Linked DNA regions of Arabidopsis thaliana. Each later gene encodes a partner of the first gene's protein in a complex. Each region holds a gene or a part of one and is shown in the gene's direction. Other genes may lie near its edges.

The links.
Region 2: XI-I (region 1) and SUN2 share a complex: the UniProt entries of both Arabidopsis thaliana proteins name them as parts of the LINC complex.
Region 3: XI-I (region 1) and WIP3 share a complex: the UniProt entries of both Arabidopsis thaliana proteins name them as parts of the LINC complex.

Annotation. Positions count from the first base shown.
Region 1 is NC_003075.7:16,010,925-16,018,294, reverse strand, and holds the start of XI-I (myosin), read left to right. Parts: upstream 1-3,325; 5' UTR 3,326-3,502; coding exon 3,503-3,646; intron 3,647-3,759; coding exon 3,760-3,906; intron 3,907-4,766; coding exon 4,767-4,912; intron 4,913-5,007; coding exon 5,008-5,164; intron 5,165-5,345; coding exon 5,346-5,404; intron 5,405-5,645; coding exon 5,646-5,802; intron 5,803-5,951; coding exon 5,952-6,101; intron 6,102-6,191; coding exon 6,192-6,328; intron 6,329-6,419; coding exon 6,420-6,566; intron 6,567-6,660; coding exon 6,661-6,762; intron 6,763-6,897; coding exon 6,898-6,955; intron 6,956-7,038; coding exon 7,039-7,140; intron 7,141-7,370. Other genes in the region: SLOMO (F-box family protein), read left to right, coding at 1-96, 194-364, 476-628, 711-871, 956-1,154, 1,336-1,787, 1,884-1,947, 2,054-2,140 and 1 more. UniProt on the Arabidopsis thaliana protein: Myosin heavy chain that is required for the cell cycle-regulated transport of various organelles and proteins for their segregation.
Region 2 is NC_003074.8:3,355,357-3,362,411, reverse strand, and holds SUN2 (SAD1/UNC-84 domain protein 2), read left to right. Parts: upstream 1-1,709; 5' UTR 1,710-1,889; coding exon 1,890-2,969; intron 2,970-3,568; coding exon 3,569-3,856; 3' UTR 3,857-4,124; downstream 4,125-7,055. Other genes in the region: ASD1 (alpha-L-arabinofuranosidase 1), read left to right, coding at 41-159, 246-317, 407-510, 592-648, 729-918, 994-1,140, 1,223-1,381; AT3G10720 (Plant invertase/pectin methylesterase inhibitor superfamily), read left to right, coding at 4,831-5,631, 6,395-6,752, 6,829-7,020. UniProt on the Arabidopsis thaliana protein: Component of SUN-protein-containing multivariate complexes also called LINC complexes which link the nucleoskeleton and cytoskeleton by providing versatile outer nuclear membrane attachment sites for cytoskeletal filaments.
Region 3 is NC_003074.8:4,335,355-4,342,202, reverse strand, and holds WIP3 (WPP domain interacting protein 3), read left to right. Parts: upstream 1-1,756; 5' UTR 1,757-1,766; coding exon 1,767-1,941; intron 1,942-2,218; coding exon 2,219-3,088; intron 3,089-3,219; coding exon 3,220-3,731; 3' UTR 3,732-3,917; downstream 3,918-6,848. Other genes in the region: AT3G13370 (formin-like protein), read right to left, coding at 1-539; AT3G13350 (HMG (high mobility group) box protein with ARID/BRIGHT DNA-binding domain-containing protein), read left to right, coding at 4,399-4,583, 5,059-5,137, 5,231-5,393, 5,490-5,537, 5,913-6,289, 6,375-6,482. UniProt on the Arabidopsis thaliana protein: Mediates and enhances the nuclear envelope docking of RANGAP proteins mediated by WIT1 and WIT2 in the undifferentiated cells of root tips.

The DNA of each region.
Region 1 (7,370 bases):
ACAGATCTGAACTTGCAAAGCATCATGCTTTCGTCGATCACTGTTTCAAACTGTCCAGCGCTTCGCCGTATCACAATCACTTCCAACGCCCTTCGAGTATGTACTTAGTTATGATGGTTTTGTTATTGCAGTTCTATTTGGCTGAAAATTTTGATCTGATAAACTTGTTGATAATTCTTTGTTTTGATTTCAGAGATTAGCCCTGCAGAAACAGGAGAATTTGACGACATTAGTTCTACAATGCCATTCCTTGCAAGAAGTGGATCTCTCTGATTGTGAATCATTGTCTAACAGTGTTTGCAAAATATTTAGTGATGATGGTGGATGCCCAATGCTGAAGTCATTGATTCTTGACAACTGTGAGGTGTGATACAGTTTCTTCCATTTATAGTGAAACAGTTACTGAAATGAAAATCGGCGGTGGTGATATTTCGCTGGTTGGTTAATTGATTATAATTTTCTGATCATCTTGTAGAGTTTAACAGCAGTGCGGTTCTGCAATTCATCGCTAGCAAGTCTTTCCCTTGTTGGCTGTCGTGCTGTTACTTCTCTTGAGTTGAAGTGCCCTCGCATAGAGCAGATCTGTTTGGATGGATGTGATCATCTTGAAACTGCATTCTTCCAACCTGTGAGTGTTACTTTTCTCATATCAAATAACCAACATATCTTAACTGATGGATTTCTTGCTTCTTCCTTCTTGTTGTGAATAGGTCGCTCTGCGGTCTCTAAATTTAGGAATATGCCCAAAATTGAGTGTGCTCAATATCGAAGCACCTTATATGGTGTCCCTTGAATTGAAAGGTTGTGGTGTACTGTCTGAAGCATCCATTATGTGTCCTTTATTAACATCTTTAGATGCGTCTTTCTGCAGGTAATTATTTGTTTTTTTTTTTGTTTTTTTCTCTATTTATGTGACTGATATTATCGTGCTGCTAATCATTTTCCCCCATTCCAGTCAACTGAGGGATGACTGTCTGTCTGCAACCACTGCTTCTTGCCCACTCATTGAGTCATTGGTGCTAATGTCATGCCCGTCTATTGGCTCTGATGGCTTGTCTTCCTTGAACGGGCTCCCAAATTTGACTGTTCTTGATTTATCGTACACTTTCTTGATGAATTTGGAACCCGTCTTCAAGTCCTGTATTCAACTTAAGGTAATTAAGGCATTAAGACTTGTATGATGCTGGATGTTTCCCTTTCCGTCAGCAGTAGAGCATATACATTATCTTGCCAATGAAAACTTCTTGAGTTATGTTGTTGTGTGCATTCTTTGTATATCAGCTATTCATGATTCATATTGCTTTTGGGCTTACTTTGAGACTTTTTATTGTTTAGGTACTCAAATTACAAGCCTGTAAGTATCTTACTGACTCATCATTGGAGCCTCTATACAAAGAAGGTGCTTTACCGGCACTTGAGGAGTTGGACCTGTCATATGGAACTCTCTGTCAGACTGCGATAGATGATCTACTTGCGTGCTGCACACACTTGACCCATTTGAGCTTGAACGGATGTGTAAACATGCATGACCTGGATTGGGGTTCAACCAGTGTACATCTTTTTGATTACTTTGGGGTCTACAGTTCTAGTGACAATACCCAGGAACCAGCTGAAACAGCCAATCGGTTACTGCAAAACCTAAACTGTGTGGGTTGCCCCAATATTAGAAAAGTGCTGATACCACCTGCAGCTCGCTTTTACCATTTATCAACACTGAACCTTTCGTTATCGGTCAATCTGAAGGAGGTTGATCTCACCTGTTCCAACCTGGTTTTACTTAATTTAAGGTTTGAGCTTTTGCATTTGCTAGATAACTTATATTCTTTATCTTCCATGAAATGAGTGGTCTTATTCTATTGCTAATTCCATTTCGAATTGTCTAGCAACTGTTGCTCTCTGGAAGTATTGAAGCTCGGCTGTCCAAGATTAGCTAGTCTCTTTCTTCAGGTATGTTTTTGCTCCGTAACTTTTACCACTAAACACACTTTGGTACCTTAAGCTTGGGTCTATATGTTACCACTAAACACACTTTGGTACCTTTTGTCTTTGGTAGTCTTGTAACATGGACGAAGCAGGAGTTGAAGCGGCTATATCAGGATGCAGCTCACTCGAGACATTGGATCTTCGTTTCTGTCCAAAGGTACTAACAATAAACGAGTGTTAACTTCGATATTGAAAACTTAGCAAGTAATCCATTTTTATGTAACAATTAAAACCTTGTCTTGGTGAATTAACAGATATCCTCGGTGAGCATGTCAAAGTTCCGAACAGTGTGCCCTAGTTTGAAACGCGTTTTCAGCAGTCCAAATCTCTTGCAAGATTAGGGTTTTGCGCCAAATGTTTGATTATATACAACTTTTTCTGCAGATTATAGAAATAATGTGTTGTGTGGTGTGGTGTTTGGGTTGTAAATGGCTCCAAGTCATAAGTTTCAGTAGTGCATATAGGCCTCTGGAGTTTGTACTGTGGCCTTCTTAGGATGCTTGTGTGATGACACAAACCTAAACAACATTAGTACTTTTTTTGTGTACGTGGTTGATGATATTGTTGCTACTGTTATATGTAGATCTTATATTTACCTTATCAATTTACCTTTTAAGCTTTGATCCACATTGACTCACATAACAAAGATAAAAATTAAATAAAACTTTTGGAATAAGTAGGGGGTAAGAAAAATTTAGTATATTTTTTGGAAACTAAAGTCTAAAATATGAATGAAGGAAGAAATCTGGAATGTAAATTTGGACTCATGCGTATTGGATGATAATAATTTGGACTTCTTCTTCCCCCAAACTCTTATTTGGACTCTCATCACCATATATGAAATTACAACAACAATAATCGACAACAAATTTTGGAATATTTTCTCTATAAAAGAGATCTAGTAATTATAATAAATATAAATAAACCTCACTAACTATCGTTTAAGAATGTTATATTCAAATATTGCCTTCTACATTTTTGACTTACTATTTTTAATTTGCTAAATTACTAAAAATAACAAGTTTTTAGCGTCAGTAAATTAACTACACAGTTTGTTTTACTAATGTGAAATCAATTTTGCGAGTAAGGATTAAACCCTATAAATGATTCGAATCAAAGATAATAAACTTGGCATTTACTCCGGAATGTGACGTAAATTTTTATCCCTAAAAACTTCTGTGTTTTTGTTTTGGATCTAGTCTTCTTTTGTTTTTTAATGCAAAATCCGAGAGGGCGGGAAGTAATTGTTGTTGTTGATGCTCTTTTTTTTTTTTGTTGCTTTTGGGAACTTTTTTGGGTAGCGGTTTAAGTAACTTTGAACCTTTAAAAAAAAAAAACTCCACAGTAGTAAAATTTCGCCCCTTCTCTCTCTATCTCCTTAGGGTTTCTCAATTCTTCTTCATTTTGAAATTTGAAAAATTCTCTGGCGCAACCTCACGGACTCTCTTTCTCTCTCTATGACTCTTGCTTCCCCCAATCTAATTCTCTAGGGTTTTCTCGTCGAGCTCTTCACGAGTTCATGAGAAATTGTCTTCCAATGGAATTGAATCTGCGCAAGGGCGACAAGGTTTGGGTCGAAGATAAGGATTTGGCTTGGATTGCTGCTGATGTCCTCGATTCTTTTGATAACAAACTCCATGTTGAAACTTCTACTGGGAAGAAGGTCTGATTAACCGTTATTTCTGCTGAATTAGCTCTGTTTCTTCTTCTTCCTCTTCTTCATGCTTTATTCATGCTAATTTTTGCTGTTGTGCGATTTTTTTTCTGGGGTTTTAGGTTTTTGTTTCCCCGGAAAAGCTATTTCGGAGGGATCCTGACGATGAAGAGCATAATGGAGTGGATGATATGACCAAACTGACATACTTGCACGAAGCTGGTGTTCTTTATAATCTACAGAGGAGATATGCTCTGAATGATATCTATGTGAGTTCTTTTCACTCTTTTTTTCTTTGGTATTGTTTATTGAGAGGTCTTTCTGAGTATATTTGGAGTTTGAATTTTTAGTTTCTATACTTCCGGGGGTACTTTATTGAGTCGGATTTCATTCCGTATGGAAGTTTACTCATTTTCGTAGTGGTATTAGTGTACTCACTGGCCGGAGTTTTCCTCTAGAACGAGTTACTGTTGCTTTTGGAGTTTCTTGTGTATTAATATGTGGTGTAAGACATGTTTCCATGTGAAGTGGATTCAGGTTCTTTATGATGGATGCATCTAGATGTGACCTGATATATTATTTAGCCGAAAAAGATAGATATCGAAGTGAAGAAATTTATTGTGACATAATGCATATATCATTACAGGCATTTACTTGCCTATTTGGTATCTAATCGCACTTCAAACATCTTGTGATCTAACCCTAACTATTGCTTTTTTCAATATTAACAATATTATTGGCGGGAGCGGGATAATCAACCTTGTGTATTCGTAACAACTTTTTGTTAGTTTGTTGGACTGCCCTGTGACTGTGAATTATTTGTAGGTTCAATATTCCTTCTAAAGTTATGGAGAGCTTCTGTTCCGTATTTAGTAGGTGAAAGTATCTATTTTTTAGACAGTTTTGTACTCAGCTGGCTTGCCCTTTTGTAAAACATTTGGTGGCAGCTTGGTGTCTAATTTATTTATGTCCCCATTGAGATGATAATATTTAGTTGGAAGTATTGGTGGTAATAATTCCTGTATCATTCTTTTTGCCACTCATAACTGTCAGCTTTTTACGCAGTTCCAATAGTAAATCATTCATGACTGCATTATCTTCTTACAAATACGTTCGACTTCTTTTTCAGACATACACTGGAAGCATTCTGATCGCTGTTAATCCATTCAAAAAGCTTCCACATCTCTACAATGGGCACATGATGGAACAGTACATGGGAGCACCATTCGGTGAGCTCAGTCCTCATGTTTTTGCAGTTTCTGATGTTGCATACAGGTGATCCACTCTTTTTTCTCTAATGTTTCTGATTTTTTAAAATCTTACTATCAGTCATGTTAATCTATTAACCATAGTTATTCTTTATAACCCAGAGCAATGATTGACGACAGTCGAAGTCAGTCAATACTTGTTAGCGGTGAAAGTGGAGCTGGAAAAACTGAGACAACCAAACTAATCATGCAGTATCTTACATTTGTTGGGGGACGTGCTACTGACGATGATAGAAGTGTTGAGCAGCAAGTCCTTGAAGTAAGATTTTGGTTATAAAATTTGTGTCTTCTATCTTGTTCAATGAGAAAAAAAGAACTGGATAGATGCCTTTGTTTTCCTCCCCTGGTATTTGTTTGCAGATAAATATTTAGGGGTGATCATGTTTGACTTTCTTTATTTGCGAGTTATCTATTCTAATTTAAGTATTCTTGTTCTGCAGTCAAATCCTCTCTTGGAAGCATTTGGCAATGCAAAAACAGTTAGAAATGATAATTCCAGGTGGGTTATTGATTTTTTTTTTTCTTTCTGTTTATTTTTTCAATGAAAATTGAGAGGTGTATCTTTAATTGCTCTTATGTCATTTGTCAACAAATTTTTCATGATAGTATCCTTAATACCCAGTGATAACAGCACTTTATGATGTTGATATGGTTTTAGTAAACCTTTTGGTTGAAATTTTGTGTGCCTAGCTTTTAGACGAATCTACTGACCAATCTACTGATCTTCTTTTGCTGTTCAGCCGTTTTGGAAAGTTTGTCGAAATCCAGTTTGACACAAATGGTAGAATATCTGGTGCCGCAATCAGAACCTATCTTCTGGAGAGATCACGTGTTGTCCGGATAACAGACCCCGAGAGGAATTATCATTGTTTTTATCAATTGTGCGCTTCGGGGAATGTAATTCTTTTTACAGCTCTATATACATGTCATAAGAGATTGGTTTTGGTTTTCTTATTATCTGATTGAGCTACGCCAGGTTTTTCTCGCTGAGTTTGTCAATTTACCTACGCTAATTACTAATCTGTAAATGTTCTTATTTTGCTTAGGACGCTGAGAAATATAAACTAAGCAACCCTCGTCAATTTCATTATCTAAATCAAAGCAAGACCTATGAATTAGAAGGAGTCAGCAGCGCAGAAGAGTATAAGAATACAAGGAGGGCAATGGATATTGTGGGCATAAGTCAGGATGAGCAGGTATAACGACTTCTAATTGAATTTTCATATGTTTTTCTTCTGCCAGCTTCTGAAATTCCTTGCTTGTTTCCTGCACAAATCATTTATCAGGAAGGGATATTTCGCACACTTGCTGCGATTCTACATCTTGGAAATGTTGAGTTTTCCTCAGGGAGAGAGCACGACTCTTCAGTGGTAAAGGATCCGGAATCTAGACATCATCTGCAGATGGCTGCTGATCTTTTCAAGTACATAAAATTTTCTGATAGTACTCATTTTTAATTATGCATACGAAGAAATAGCTTGTTTATTTTGTTGTATCCATGCAAAATTAATCAGGTGTGATGCAAATCTTTTGCTGGCTTCGCTCTGCACACGTTCAATTCTGACCCGTGAAGGTATCATTATCAAAGCACTTGACCCTAATGCTGCTGTTACTAGCCGGGATACCCTCGCGAAGACTGTTTACGCCCATCTATTTGACTGGTTTGCTTTCGACTTTCTTAATCCTTTCATTTAATGGATGTTTTGTTGATGTACTACACTTATGTTTGAACTATTCGTTTTATGCTTCTGTCAGGCTGGTTGATAAGATCAATAAGTCTGTTGGGCAAGATCCAGAATCTCGTTTTCAAATAGGAGTCCTGGACATTTATGGCTTTGAATGTTTTAAGAATAACAGGTTAGCGATGATCCATGGAACTAATTAAATGATAGTTCTTTCCTTTCTCAGCCCCAATTCTTTGTTAGTTATATATGGTGCACTATGTTTAGCTGTGAACTGTGTAAACTTTATCTGGGCTGATTCATTCTGCAGTTTTGAACAATTTTGCATCAACTTTGCAAATGAAAAGCTGCAGCAACATTTCAACGAGGTAATATAGGGAACTCATTTTCAAATGTTTTGCCAGATTTAGTATATTGCTTCCTCTCCTTATGGTCTCTGGTCTGTTTTCAGCATGTATTCAAGATGGAGCAGGATGAGTACAGAAAAGAAGAAATTAATTGGAGTTATATCGAGTTTATTGACAACCAAGATGTCTTGGACCTTATTGAGAAGGTACGTTTCTCTCTATTTTAATTAGATTAAGATTTTAGATCCTGTTCTGTTCTACTTTCTTGCCCCTTCGCCTTTTGTGATCTTTGAAACTTGCAACAGCTTAAATTGTATCAGACCTTTAACATGGGATTTTGATCATGGTGTCAATATATCATGTCGTTTTATTTATTTATTATAGTTTTACTTAGATTGTCGAGTAAAGAGTTCACCACCCTTTAAACAGGGGATTT
Region 2 (7,055 bases), on another chromosome or scaffold:
TTGAGCATCTTTGACACTAAATGAGATTACAACTTTACAGGAAACTACATTGTGTTCTATGATGCTATCAAGAAAGCCTATCCAGATATCAAAATCATCTCCAACTGCGATGGATCCTCTCATCCACTCGACCACCCAGCTGATTACTATGACTATCACGTAAAATTTTCTATCTTGACAGAAACTGTAACCGTTGTCTTGTGTTCTCTCTTCCGCCTGAAAAAAGTGTTTCCTTTTTGTCACAGATTTACACTTCTGCTAGCAATTTGTTTTCCATGTATCATCAATTTGATCGCACTTCACGCAAAGGTCCAAAGGTGCGGTAATAGATTATAACAAAACTTAATTCCAACAAACACAAGATGAAGCTTTCAGCGTTTTACTCACTCGTGAACTTTGTTTACAGGCTTTTGTCAGTGAATATGCTGTTACTGGAAAAGATGCTGGTACAGGAAGCCTTCTTGCCTCTCTTGCAGAAGCTGCGTTTCTCATTGGTCTTGAAAAGAATAGGTTCCCTTTGAATTTCTCTTCCCAGGCTTTGATCTCAACTAAAAACATCAAATAAGTTAAACATCTTATGACTTTTTGCAGTGACATTGTTGAAATGGCAAGTTATGCTCCACTCTTTGTGAACACAAATGATAGACGGTATCTCTCACTTACTTTTCCGTTCGAATGGTTACTCAGGAAGATAAGGCAATAATCTCAAATTGTTAAATTGGTTTCAGGTGGAACCCTGATGCAATAGTCTTCAACTCCTCTCATCTATATGGAACACCTAGCTATTGGGTTCAACGGTTTTTTGCAGAGTCAAGCGGAGCAACTCTTCTCACTTCAACACTCAAGGGAAACTCTACTTCTCTTGTTGCATCTGCTATCTCTTGGAAAAACAATGGCAAAGATTACATACGCATAAAGGTAAACCGAGTGAAAGATTCAACCGGAGCTCTGATATTGACCCTAAAAAACTGTTTCAAAATCTGTTATTTGCAGGCTGTAAACTTCGGAGCTAACTCAGAAAATATGCAAGTGTTGGTAACTGGATTGGACCCGAACGTGATGAGAGTTTCGGGATCAAAGAAGACAGTACTTACCTCTACCAATGTGATGGATGAAAATTCCTTCTCACAGCCAGAGAAGGTAAAAATCAAGAGATGGAAGAAACATCATTATCATCACAAATTCTGAGTGTTCCCATGTTCTTATTGGTTTTTATTTGCAGGTTGTACCACATGAAAGCTTGCTAGAGTTGGCAGAGGAGGATATGACCGTTGTTCTCCCGCCACATTCCTTTTCTTCATTCGATTTGTTGAAGGAATCTGCAAAGATAAGAATGCCAATCTCTGATTCTTCTTCCCATCAGAAAACTACCACTGTGTGAAGAGAAACAATGACAAGGAAGTATCAACTTTCATGTCAAAAGTCTCTTTGTGGTTCAAATCTAATTACATTCCATAAATGCTTATAACGTACCCTTGTGTATATATAATAATAGTCTGGTGAATAAATTTACTTTCTTTAATCATGAGCTTATCTCGACTCTAGATATCTTGATATGCAAGAATGATGAAGCAACAGTTTCTTCTTAGCATAAAAGAAGATGACGAGGCGTGAAAGTGGGCTGGGCCATTTTATTTCCATTATTGGGCTTTTAAAAGCCCATCATAATGAATTTTGAAAAAAATGGAGGAGCATCAAAACAAATAAAAATGGCGAAACTGAAGAACACACGATTCAGATTTTCAAAATTGAATTTTGTAGTGATCTCTCTCCTATATAAACTTCCTCACTCTTCTTCCATTTCAAATCTCTCTCTCTGTAGTCAAAATTAGGGTTTATTTATTCATAAGGAAGAGCATTTCGAATTCTGTAGTTCAAAATTGAAGATCATGTCGGCGTCAACGGTGTCAATCACCGCTAGTCCTAGGACAATAAGGCGGACGCCGGTTCTCTCCGGTGAGAAGAAATCTAATTTTGATTTCCCGCCGAGCGAATCTCATGCCAATGCGGCAATTGGAGAGTCGTCTGCTGGTACGAACAAGGATCTGATTCGCGCCGAGGCTGCCGGTGAGAGATCCAACACCTACGACGTAGGTCCGGTGACAAGGAAATCAGGATCCACCGCGACGGGGACTAATACAACCACCACGCAGCGTCGGACGCGGAAGTCTCAGGGGAATAAGATAGATAGAGGGAAATGGAAGACAGTGGTTAGGGTATTCGCGAAGCAATTTGGGGCTCTTTTGTTACTTGTTGGATTGATTCAGTTGATTAGGAAATTGACTTTGAAGGATTCGTCTCTGTCTTCTTCGAATTTCCCAATTGAAACGGAAATGGTGCTTTCGGAATTGGAGAGTCGGATTTCTGCAGTTGATGGTTTGGTGAAGACTACGACGAAGATGATGCAGGTTCAAGTTGAGTTTCTTGATAAGAAGATGGATAGTGAATCAAGAGCATTGAGGCAGACGATAGATTCCACATCTTCTGTGTTACATAGTGAGTTGAAGAAGGTAGAGTCTAAGACAGAGAGGTTACAGGTTTCTGTAGATGAGTTAAATGCTAAACCTTTGGTGTCTAGAGAGGAGTTAGAGAGAGTTTACGAGGAGTTGAAGAAGGGTAAGGTCGGTGATTCTGATGTTAACATTGATAAACTGAGGGCTTATGCTCGTGACATAGTGGAGAAAGAGATAGGGAAACATGTTGCAGATGGCCTTGGTCGAGTAGATTATGCGTTAGCGTCTGGTGGAGCTTTTGTAATGGGGCATTCGGATCCGTTTCTTGTTGGAAATGGGCGTAATTGGTTTGGGACAAGCAGGAGACGGGTTCATAGCAAAGCGGTTAAGATGTTAACTCCGAGTTTCGGGGAGCCTGGACAGTGTTTTCCTCTGAAAGGAAGCAATGGATATGTTCTAGTCAGGCTAAGAGCACCAATAATTCCAGAAGCTGTTACTTTGGAACATGTCTCTAAGGTAGTACTAACATCTCAATACTAAACTTTCACAAAATGATTGATTTTTATATGTTAATTTGAGCCTTCAAGAAGGGTTCTCTGTTAAATGTTGTTGGTATTGAGATGCCCTGTACTTCGGATTGGATTGCTGGTGACAATAGGTTATCGAATAGAGGGCAAGAAACTAGTTTTGTGAATTTGAGTTCTTATAGTTTGAGGTTTAGTTTAGGCACTAGCTGTGACAATATGCATTGAGGAGGATTTTACCTATTGTTATTTTCTGCAAATCACTAGCTTTAGCAGTTCCTTTGTCTAATATCAATGCCACTGTGTTGTTGTGCTTTGTTTGGGACATCGTTGACAGAGAAAAGAACCGTATGTATGGGAAGAGCTTGTAAGTTTACAATTAGTGGAACTGTAATATTCACTGTTTACGGATATCCTTAGGAAACAGTAGCTGAAGGGAAATAGTCTCAAGAGTGTGTAATGTGATGGTCACACATTGCTTTCCATCATTGTTCATCCTTGTGATCATTTGTCTGATAAATTTCTTCTTGTCTGACCACTAAAAGGCAATACTAATCTTACGGTTATGTTATGCACCATTTAATCGAACAGGCTGTAGCATATGACAGATCGAGCGCCCCAAAGGATTGCCGTGTATCAGGATGGCTAGGTGACATAGATATGGAGACTGAGACAATGCCCCTTCTTACAGAATTCAGTTACGACTTAGACAGGTCCAATGCACAGACATTCGACATTGCAGACTCTGCTCACTCAGGACTTGTCAACACTGTCAGGCTAGACTTCAATTCCAACCATGGAAGCTCTTCACACACTTGCATCTACCGCTTCAGGGTTCATGGCCGTGAACTAGACTCAGTCTCTGTTGCTCATGCTTGATCTGAAAGTCCACGTCAAACTTTTCTTCTCTTTGTAACATTCCCTCTAATAGATATCTCTCTTCTTTTTTTGTGTTAGTTTATGTGGTGGGAAAGCTTCTCTTAGTCTGTAATCAGAATCATTTGGTTGTATTCGTGATTATTAGCTTCAAATCTGTTTTGGTTCGGTTTATTTGGTCAGGGTATGTATCCTCCGAATTGAATAATATAGATCTTAGTTTGATGTCCGGTTTTGGTTTTGTAACAGAGTTTCAATTTAAGCTTTCACCTAAAACAAATCATACAAATTCTAATAGAGTATACATATTTCATTAGTTGAAACAAATATTGAATTTGGATTATTAATGGTTACCTTGGGTACTTGGTATTACAACGATATGTGATGAATAGGAAGAGTGTGTATATAGATGGACCATAACTTGTTAGTGTGAATTGCGTAATCGACAAAGTGACGACTTCTTCTTCTAGGCTGCACCGTCTTGCCTTGTCTAAAAGCTTCCCAACACATCACATGCAAAATCTACGGTCAAATAATAGATATGAAACCCTCTTCCAAGTCAACACAGCTTGTTTGATTATAAATTAAATTAAATACAAATTCATCTTTGACATGTCTGATTAATGTTAATTTTTTACAGTGTCAACTGGCATAACAAATTGAGCTAAACAAAATTAAGCTCTAAAAATAGCCATTTTTTACGGTTAAATCACATGAAGAAACCTTTCCTAACCAAGTCAACCCATGTTTGGTCGTCGTGACGGTGGACCACCGGCTCCAAAAAAACTCTTCATTTGACCAAAACGAGTATAACCCTTAATTATTAGACCAACATGCATTACATAAATGATAAATTCAGTTTCCCTCGAGCCCATGCATTCATTAAATAGCAGAAAGCTCCTCGTATAGTCTATATATATAGCAGATTTTAGATCCAAAATAACAAACACCATCAATACACAAACAAAACAAAAAGGATGAAAATGCAAACACTAAACTTCACTTCTTCTCTCTTGTTCTTGTCTTTTATCTTCCTCTCATGTGCTCTGCTTATCTCATCACAACAATCTCCATCACAGCCACATTCTGAGCCTCCGTCACAGCTACCTTTTGAGCCTCCGGTAGAGTCACCATTCTTCCCTCCGTCACAGCCACCAATATTCGTGCCACCGTCACAGCCACCTTCTTTGCCTCCGTCACAGTCTCAGTCACCTTCTCTCGCTTGCAAGTCAACTCCATACCCTAAGCTTTGCCGTACGATCCTCAACGCTGTCAAATCCTCACCGTCAGATCCTTACCGTTACGGCAAATTCACTATAAAGCAATGCCTCAAGCAAGCAAGCCGTCTATCCAAAGTCATCACCAGTTACGCGCGGCGCGTGGAAAGCAAACCAGGCTCGGCCACGGCCGAGGAAATAGGGGCGGTGGCGGACTGCGGCGAGTTATCGGAGCTGAGTGTGAACTACCTTGAAACCGTCACGACGGAGCTTAAGACGGCGCAGGTGATGACGGCAGCTCTCGTCGAGCATGTGAACAGTCTTCTCAGTGGTGTAGTGACGAATCAGCAGACGTGTCTTGACGGACTCGTGGAGGCTAAGAGTGGTTTCGCCGCCGCGATTGGTTCGCCGATGGGGAATCTCACTCGCCTTTACAGTATCTCGTTAGGACTTGTGAGCCACGCACTTAACCGTAACCTGAAGAGGTTTAAAGCCTCCAAAGGGAAGATTCTTGGTGGTGGGAACTCAACCTATCGCGAACCGCTCGAGACTTTGATTAAGGTAATTAATTAAAACTTGTTTCTAATTCTTTTCTTTTTTCGTTTTTGTTTGTTTGTTTATACTAGCTTTTATACATTCCTTTACATATTATTATAAAGTTGTTAATAATCTAGTTGTAAAGACATTACATATTTTTGAAATGGTTGGCATAGAGATATAAGAATAGGAATTTGGGGAAATACCAAAAACATTATATATATATATATATATATATGCCTTCTTATCATAAATCCTTAGAAAAAATCAAAACAGAGTTTTTAAATCGATGATTTATAATAATTTTTGTATGGTCACCACTCACCACAATTCAAACATGAATAATGAAAGGTTATGCAAAAGCCTTTTTGGACATACATGTATGAATAGATAAGCATCGTAGGAGGACATATACTAAGTTAAATATGGTATGAATTTACTACTTTGGACGCACGGAATGATTTAATATTCGTGCATATCTAAAATTTTCTAGATCGAGTCATAAATGGATGTGCTCTTGTTTTGTGTGTGTGAGCCAGAACACGCGTAAGAGAGTAAATGGCACATGGCCTACGCACATTTTAGTACAACTCAACAATGATCAAATGAGTCCTATCTTTGACTTTAACAAAAGAAATCAATTTGGTCCCCATTCGGATCCAACTGTATTCACGTGCATAAGAGTGTCCCGGTCATTTCATGTGTGGCTACAATGAACATTGATTTTAAAAAGGCATGAGTCTACAAGCTAATCATGTACTAAGCACATTTTCTTTTTCTGGTATAGGGTTTACGTAAAACATGCGACAACGACAAAGATTGCCGGAAAACTAGCCGGAACTTAGGGGAGCTAGGTGAGACCAGCGGCGGTTCCATCCTCGTGAGTAAAGCAGTGATCGTCGGTCCGTTCAAATCCGACAACTTCACAACCATCACCGATGCTATTGCAGCCGCACCTAATAACACTAGACCAGAGGATGGTTACTTTGTTATCTACGCAAGAGAAGGTGTCTATGAAGAATATATTGTTGTTCCCATCAACAAAAAGAACTTAATGCTTATGGGAGATGGGATCAATAAGACGATTATTACAGGGAACCATAATGTTGTTGATGGTTGGACTACGTATAATTGCTCGAGCTTCGGTTGGTATTCTTATCTCTCTTTTTGTCATTTGGAATTACTTAGTTAATGATATATAGTTTTATTTTTATTTTCTAGCTGTGGTTGGAGAGCGGTTCATGGCGGTTGATGTTACATTCAGAAACACAGCCGGACCTGAAAAACATCAGGCAGTGGCTTTGAGGAACAATGCGGAAGGATCAAGTTTTTATCGGTGTAGTTTTGAAGGCTATCAAGATACTCTCTACGTCCATTCTCTTAGACAATTCTATCGCGAATGCGATATATATGGTAATATAAGTTTTGTTTCCGCTTCATTTTCCACA
Region 3 (6,848 bases), on another chromosome or scaffold:
CCTTTTCCTGAATCATCAGGTCCACTTTTATAACCTCCGTAGATTATATTAACGGGTATTTTTGGTGGTGATGGTGCATTGTGACCTCTTCCTGAATCATCATGACGACTTTTATAACTTCCATAGATTATATTCATCGATACCTTTGGTGGTGATGGTGCACTTTTATAATCTCCGTAGATTATATTCATCGGTACCTTTGGTGGTAAAGGTGCATCGTGACCTTTACCTGAATCATCAGGTCCACTTTTATAACCTCCGTAGATTATATTCATCGGTACCTTTGATGGTAAAGGTGCATCGTGACCTTTACCTGAATCATCAGGTCCACTTTTATAACCTCCGTAGTTTATATTCATCAGTATCTTTGGTGGTAAAGGTGTATCGTGACCTTTACCTGAATCATCAGGTCCACTTTTATAACCTCCGTAATTTATATTCATCGGTATCTTTGGTGGTAAAGGTGCATCGTGACCTTTACCTGAATCATCAGGTCCACTTTTATAACTTCCGTAGATTATATTCACAGGAACCTTCATCGTTTTTATGAGCGGGTTAGTTTCTCCCATGACTGGTGGATTCAAACTTCTTGCATGGGCATAAGGTCCACGACACACAAAACAAGTGATAAGGGATATGAAAACTATTTTGGGAATCAAACAAGACATGGTGGGAGGCATCAACATTATTCGAGGTTTTTTTTAGGACTAGGAAATGGGGATGTGAAAATTGAAATTGGTAGAAAAAAAGAAGAAGAAGAAGTTGTCTTTTTTTTTGTTGATAGAAAATGATTGTTACAACTTACAATATATTAAAAATGTGAGTATTTGTATGTATATATAATAGATTATTGATTCACTCAAAACATATAATGTATTGTTATAATGTTTAATAATGATATGAATTATGTTAAAAAATAAATATTGTCTCAAACACAATATATCTAATCATAATTACTGTCTTAAACTATAGATGATATACAATAGTTACTTATGACAAAGTTTATCATTTTCAATTTTATTAGTACAAAATCAAATATTTTCATAGATATCAGTAAAAATACTATTTTGACAATTAACAATATTAAAATAAAATAAATTTTGTGGATATTGTAGATTCTAAAGTAAAATAACTATAATAAATTTTAAAATAAATGGTAATCACATTTTGTTACATGTTACTAAAATACTTAATTTATATTTAATGAATCAGTTTATCTGTCCATATTTTAAAATTTCACTAAAATTTTCAGAAATGTTTTGGAATTAGATTTCAGATTGTAAATAGTTTTCACTAACTTTTAATTATATAAATATATTAAATATTTACCCATTTCCTCAACAGAATGGAGATTTTACATTTATAAAACAATTCCATACTTCAAGAATTAGCATTTATTTATTTATTTTTTAAATCTGTTTTATACAAAAAATAGATAAAAAAATCATTTTAAGGAGTTGATTTTTTTAATGATTTGTAAATGTTCAAATCTGCATAAAACATTATTTTGATTTTTGAATATGATACCAAATAAATCTTTTAAATTTTAAAATAGAAAAATCACACTTTTCATTATTTTGAAAATATTTAAGTCTAGTTTTAATGGGCCTTATCAGGCCAACATGTTGGGCTCATATACACACTTTAATTCCGACATGTTGTGTACTCCAGATCGGACGGCCAGCTTGGCGCACTGGGTTTATGTCATGTGGGTCCCACGTATGATTCGCACCATCTTCATTATTTTTTCTCTTTCTTTATCTTTAATGTTTTTTTTTTCCTGTGTCTGTAGAATCATTTCGTCCACTTTAATCATTTTCGTTGATACAGCTTCTCCCGGTAATAATGTCGGCGGATTTCTCCGTCGCACTCTAAATTCTTTAGGATTTTGTTTCTCTTGCTCATCTGTAACTCAGGCAAGCTCTCGTTGGATTGTTTTAGGTACGCTTTAAATATTGATTCGAGTCGCTTCTCTCTGTTTTCATTAATTTTGTTTTTTCAAAAAATTTCTGGACTTGATTAGATGAGATTGTTGAATTGTGAATTGAGTTTTGTTCATTGTTGTTTCGGTAGATGAGGTTAGAATAACACTATACATCAGTTCTTTCTTTTGAAGTAGTGAGCTGAATCTAGTTCTTTAGCTGTTGGAAATTTTCAGATTTGTGTCTCTGATGACAGAGAATTTGATACCTTTTTTTTTGTTGTGAAATGGATTTAGGCATGAATGAGTCAGTCCCTGATTCTGTGGAAGACAACGGTAATTCAGTCCCTGCAAATGGATTATTAGTATTGCCTGATAATGATCATGAGGAAGGAGGTGTTGGATCACCTCAACGATCGAACAGCGTTGAATCTCCTGGTGGATCAGTACATTCTACGAGGAAAGGTTTTGGTTTGAAGAAATGGAGACGGATCAAAAGAGATGGTCCTGTGAGAGATGAGGCTGCTCCTGTTGATGATGGTAGTAAGTTACTGAAACGTGGATTGGCTGGTTTGGTGAATCCTCCTTCTAAACATGTAGAATTTTCTTCAGTTGAAGCAAGGCAGAGTAGTGAAGGCTCTGTTGGGTCAGTGAATATGGTGCATCATCCAGGGGTAGCCAACGGGTTTAGTCCCGATATAGGTTGTATGTTTGCTGTTGGGCAAGCGTTTGAGAAAAGTGAAGAGCATAGTGGTAATACCATAGGTGGAAAGAATGTAGTAGGAGGGAAGGTTGTTTCAGGTAGCCAAGAGAAACTCTGGAGTGATACCATCAAGAGGGCTAGCGAAGAGCGGGGGGATATCGAGAAGGAGAAGCCTTGTTCCAGCTTGGATTCCGACTTGAGAAGTAGTGATTTTGTGTTTTCGACTGGCTCGGTTTCTGTTGGTAACCATGGAGAGAAAGATGAGAGATTGACGATGAATTATATTGGGGGATTTAGCAATGAAGGTCAAGTTAAGGAGGAAGTTCAAACATATAGCAGAAGCGAAAACGGGAATAAAGAAGACGATGGAGAGAGTAAGAAAAACAACAATCATTGGGCAGATAAAGACGCACTTGCAGATTCTATCAGAAGCTTTGCAGTTCTGCAGGAAGTTCTTTGGAAAGGTTTGCACACGAACCTTGATTTTTGATATCCATGTGAATTGTTTCAATGTTCATGTCCTAAAGCTCCCATGTTTATATTATCAATGTTACATGATATTTCTAAACTAACTATGCGATTGAAACGTGTGCAGAGGTTCAAAGTTTCCAGGAGCTAGGTAAGGAATCTGTACTACTACATTCGAACACCGATGAATTGAGTTCAGACCAGCCAAGTCATCAAAATTGTAAAGAAGATAACTCAACATCCTCAGGATCAAAGGCACTGATCTTGAAGGAGAAGGTAAAACTTCTGGAACACAAACTCGAGGAAGCGAGAGCTGCTCTCGAGGCAAAGGAAGCTAGGATCCAAGAACTCGAAAACTCAAAGATTGAATCTGAACTTGAATGCATCTTCCAGAGAAAGATTGAAACTGAAATCGAACATTTGATGCTCACAAGATCTCTGAGTTCACTACAAGTACTCCAAGAAACTAAGAAGTTACATTCTCTGAAAGAAGATCCTGTATCAAACCGTGGAAACATCTTAGGAAAAACATGTAAGCTCGGTTTCTATATCTTGACACAATTGATCTTGCTCGTCTCTATACTTCGGTTTCTCGTCCTACAATTCTCTCCTGCTTCACGATTAGTAATACCAACTTGAAAAATTCCTTCTCCTTGTTGTGTTACCGAACATTTTTTTTGTTTCTCCAGATTGTAATAAATAAGGTCTCTCAAGGATATTGTCCCCATTGTTATAGTTAAATTACGATGTTTAAATTTCCCATCAACAACTAAAGAGACATTATTATTTTGTGAACTAGATTTTTGATATCGAATCCGATCACCGGTTATAATGGTTTGCCGACGGTTTTTGTGATTTGACTCAAGAGTGTAATAAAACCTTAACTTAAATCTTGGTTTTTGATTCAATCTAGATTCGGTTAATCAACCGGTCCGGTCTGGTTTTTAAAACAATAGGCCATTGTTGTAGGGAGTAGTTTAATCGGGGCAGAGGCTTATGCTATGGGCTTGGACTCTCAGGTTTCGTCTTAAACCTAATCAAAGTAATTTAAGCCGAAAACGGAAGGAACTAAAATTGGTGTCTTGACTAAAAATAATATAAAGGACATAAAATTAAAGTCCCCAGATAAAAGTTTGTATGATTTAGGGCAAAATCTCAGAAGATAAAATCATTCAAATTTGTGTGAATTTCGTTTAATCCTTATCCAATTTGTCCCAATTTATAATCTTATAAGAAAAATAAAAATCTGAAATACGGTGGTCTCAATTGCTCTTACCTTTACCAAGACGGCCATAAGAAAAAAAAGATGTCGACCGATATTTCACCACCCTACTCTCAAACTCACGTGGAGCCCGTTAATGGTTATCCTTCTGACAACAAGAGATGCGACGATTCCTCTGTTCCTGCCAAATATGATGATCTTGTCCGTAACTCTGCTCTCTTCTGGGAAAAGCTCCGAGCTTTCCTCGGATTAACCAGCAAGACTTTGAAGTCAGTTTCTTTCTTACCCTTTTCACATTTTTGTGAGACCTTTTCGTTTGGTTTAAGATTGTGGAAGAAAAAACCCAACTTTGTTTGTTTGTATCTCTCCCGAAGATTGGTTAGGGATTTAAGGCTTGAGGTGTTGTTATATTGTTTGGTGAGATTGAAAGCAATAGAATTAGATTTTGTTGCTCAGTGAAATGTTGAAAATTGTCAATTAGGGTTTAGTGGATTCCGGATTGGTGAAGTTTAAGCAGGAAGTGCGTTATGTCATGTGTATCGTCTGTTGAATTAGATTTATCGTATTCTTTACCTGTTTATATTGTTCATAAGGAAATGAAATCAAACTGGATTTAGTATTTACTAATCTGGATACTGTAATTATATCTATGAACGAGTTTAGGCTTAATGTGTGTTGTTTTGTCTCTTGTGTTTATTAATTGATCACTGTCTGGTAATGAAACATTTTCCGTCTCTGTAAAAGGGTTCCTACTGTGGGAGGAAACACTCTTGATCTGCATCGGCTTTTCATCGAGGTTACGTCTCGAGGTGGTATCGAAAGGGTATGAATGAGTTCATGTTACCGTTAATCATACTTTTGGGAGATTAATATTGTTCCATTGAGTATTGAAGTGTGTATGTTTTTTTTACTCTAGGTGGTGAAGGATCGGAAATGGAAAGAAGTGATTGGTGCATTCAGTTTTCCGACAACGATAACAAGTGCATCGTTTGTCTTGAGGAAGTATTATCTCAAGTTTCTTTTTCAGCTGGAACATGTGTATTACCTTGAAAAACCGGTGTCTTCACTCCAATCAACAGGTCTATTTCAGCACTAAAATTCTTATCGTTGTCTTACCTTTTCTTTCGTTGCTCTGTTACATACTGAGATAAGCCAAAATTCTCATGCTTTTCCAGATGAAGCATTGAAGAGCCTTGCCAATGAATCTCCAAACCCTGAGGAAGGTATAAGACACGTTTCTCTAACTCTTGTGGCTTTTTTATTCTTCCCTCCATATCTTTGTCCATTCATCAGTATGTAGTATGTTGTATTTAGTATTCCGTTGGATAGAAGTTTATTATTACAGATTCTCTTTAAAGAAGTAATGTCTGGTAGGCCTTTAATTCCCCAATCTGGTTCATTAGTTTTCTCACGTGACAAAGATTCCTGAGTTTAACGTGTTACAAATATTGGCTCTGTTTCACTCCTTTTAGACTGGAACAAATAAATATACACTTATCTTTCCTTTGATTCCATTCCTTATATGTTTTGAGTTTACCGCGTGTGTGTCTAGTAAAATTTTGACCGTGTGTCTTTGTGCTTCATTGTGGAACCTGCAGGTATTGATGAACCACAAGTTGGGTATGAGGTTCAAGGATTCATTGATGGGAAGTTTGATAGCGGCTATCTGGTGACGATGAAATTGGGTTCTCAAGAGCTGAAAGGTGTCCTTTACCACATTCCTCAAACGCCAAGTCAGTCTCAACAAACCATGGAAACACCTTCAGCCATTGTACAATCATCACAACGCCGGCATAGGAAGAAATCAAAGTTGGCTGTAGTCGATACTCAAAAACCCAAATGCCACAGGAGTGGCTACAACTTCTTTTTTGCTGAGCAGTACGCGAGGCTTAAACCTGAGTACCATGGACAAGAACGATCCATCACTAAGAAAATAGGACACATGTGGAGCAATCTCACTGAATCTGAGAAACAGGTAACCAATCATCATCGAATTATATCCACTTTTTTTTTTTTTTCATTAAACCAGTGTTTGCTTACAAATTTGTTCATCATTACAGGTTTATCAAGACAAAGGAGTTAAGGATGTGGAGAGATACAGAATTGAGATGTTGGAATATAAGTCTTCACATGAATCAGGAGCTACTGCTTCTACAGTGGCTCAGTAGCTTTTCTCCCTTTTGTTGTCTTACGTGTCTGTTGTAACATTTTTCCTTTTCTCTATAGAACTTGTTTTCTTTTTCTTTCTAAATGTAATGTTTTCTATCAGTTGGAGGATTTGTCAGCTTTATTATGGCTTTAGAGCTAGTGAGGAGGTTACTAACTGTGAACTAGTGTCTCTCTTGTTGTTTCTTTTAGTAAGTGCCATTTTTGTAGTGAATTACAGGCATATCCATATATCCAGATCTTTCTTCAAAAACATGGCGCATATGTTTCTTTTCGTTATGTTACTTGATGATATGTGATGTATCTTTATTAAGTCCCCGTCTGTAGTATCTTTATTAAGCTCAAAGTTCGGCGGTGGAGGCGTGGAG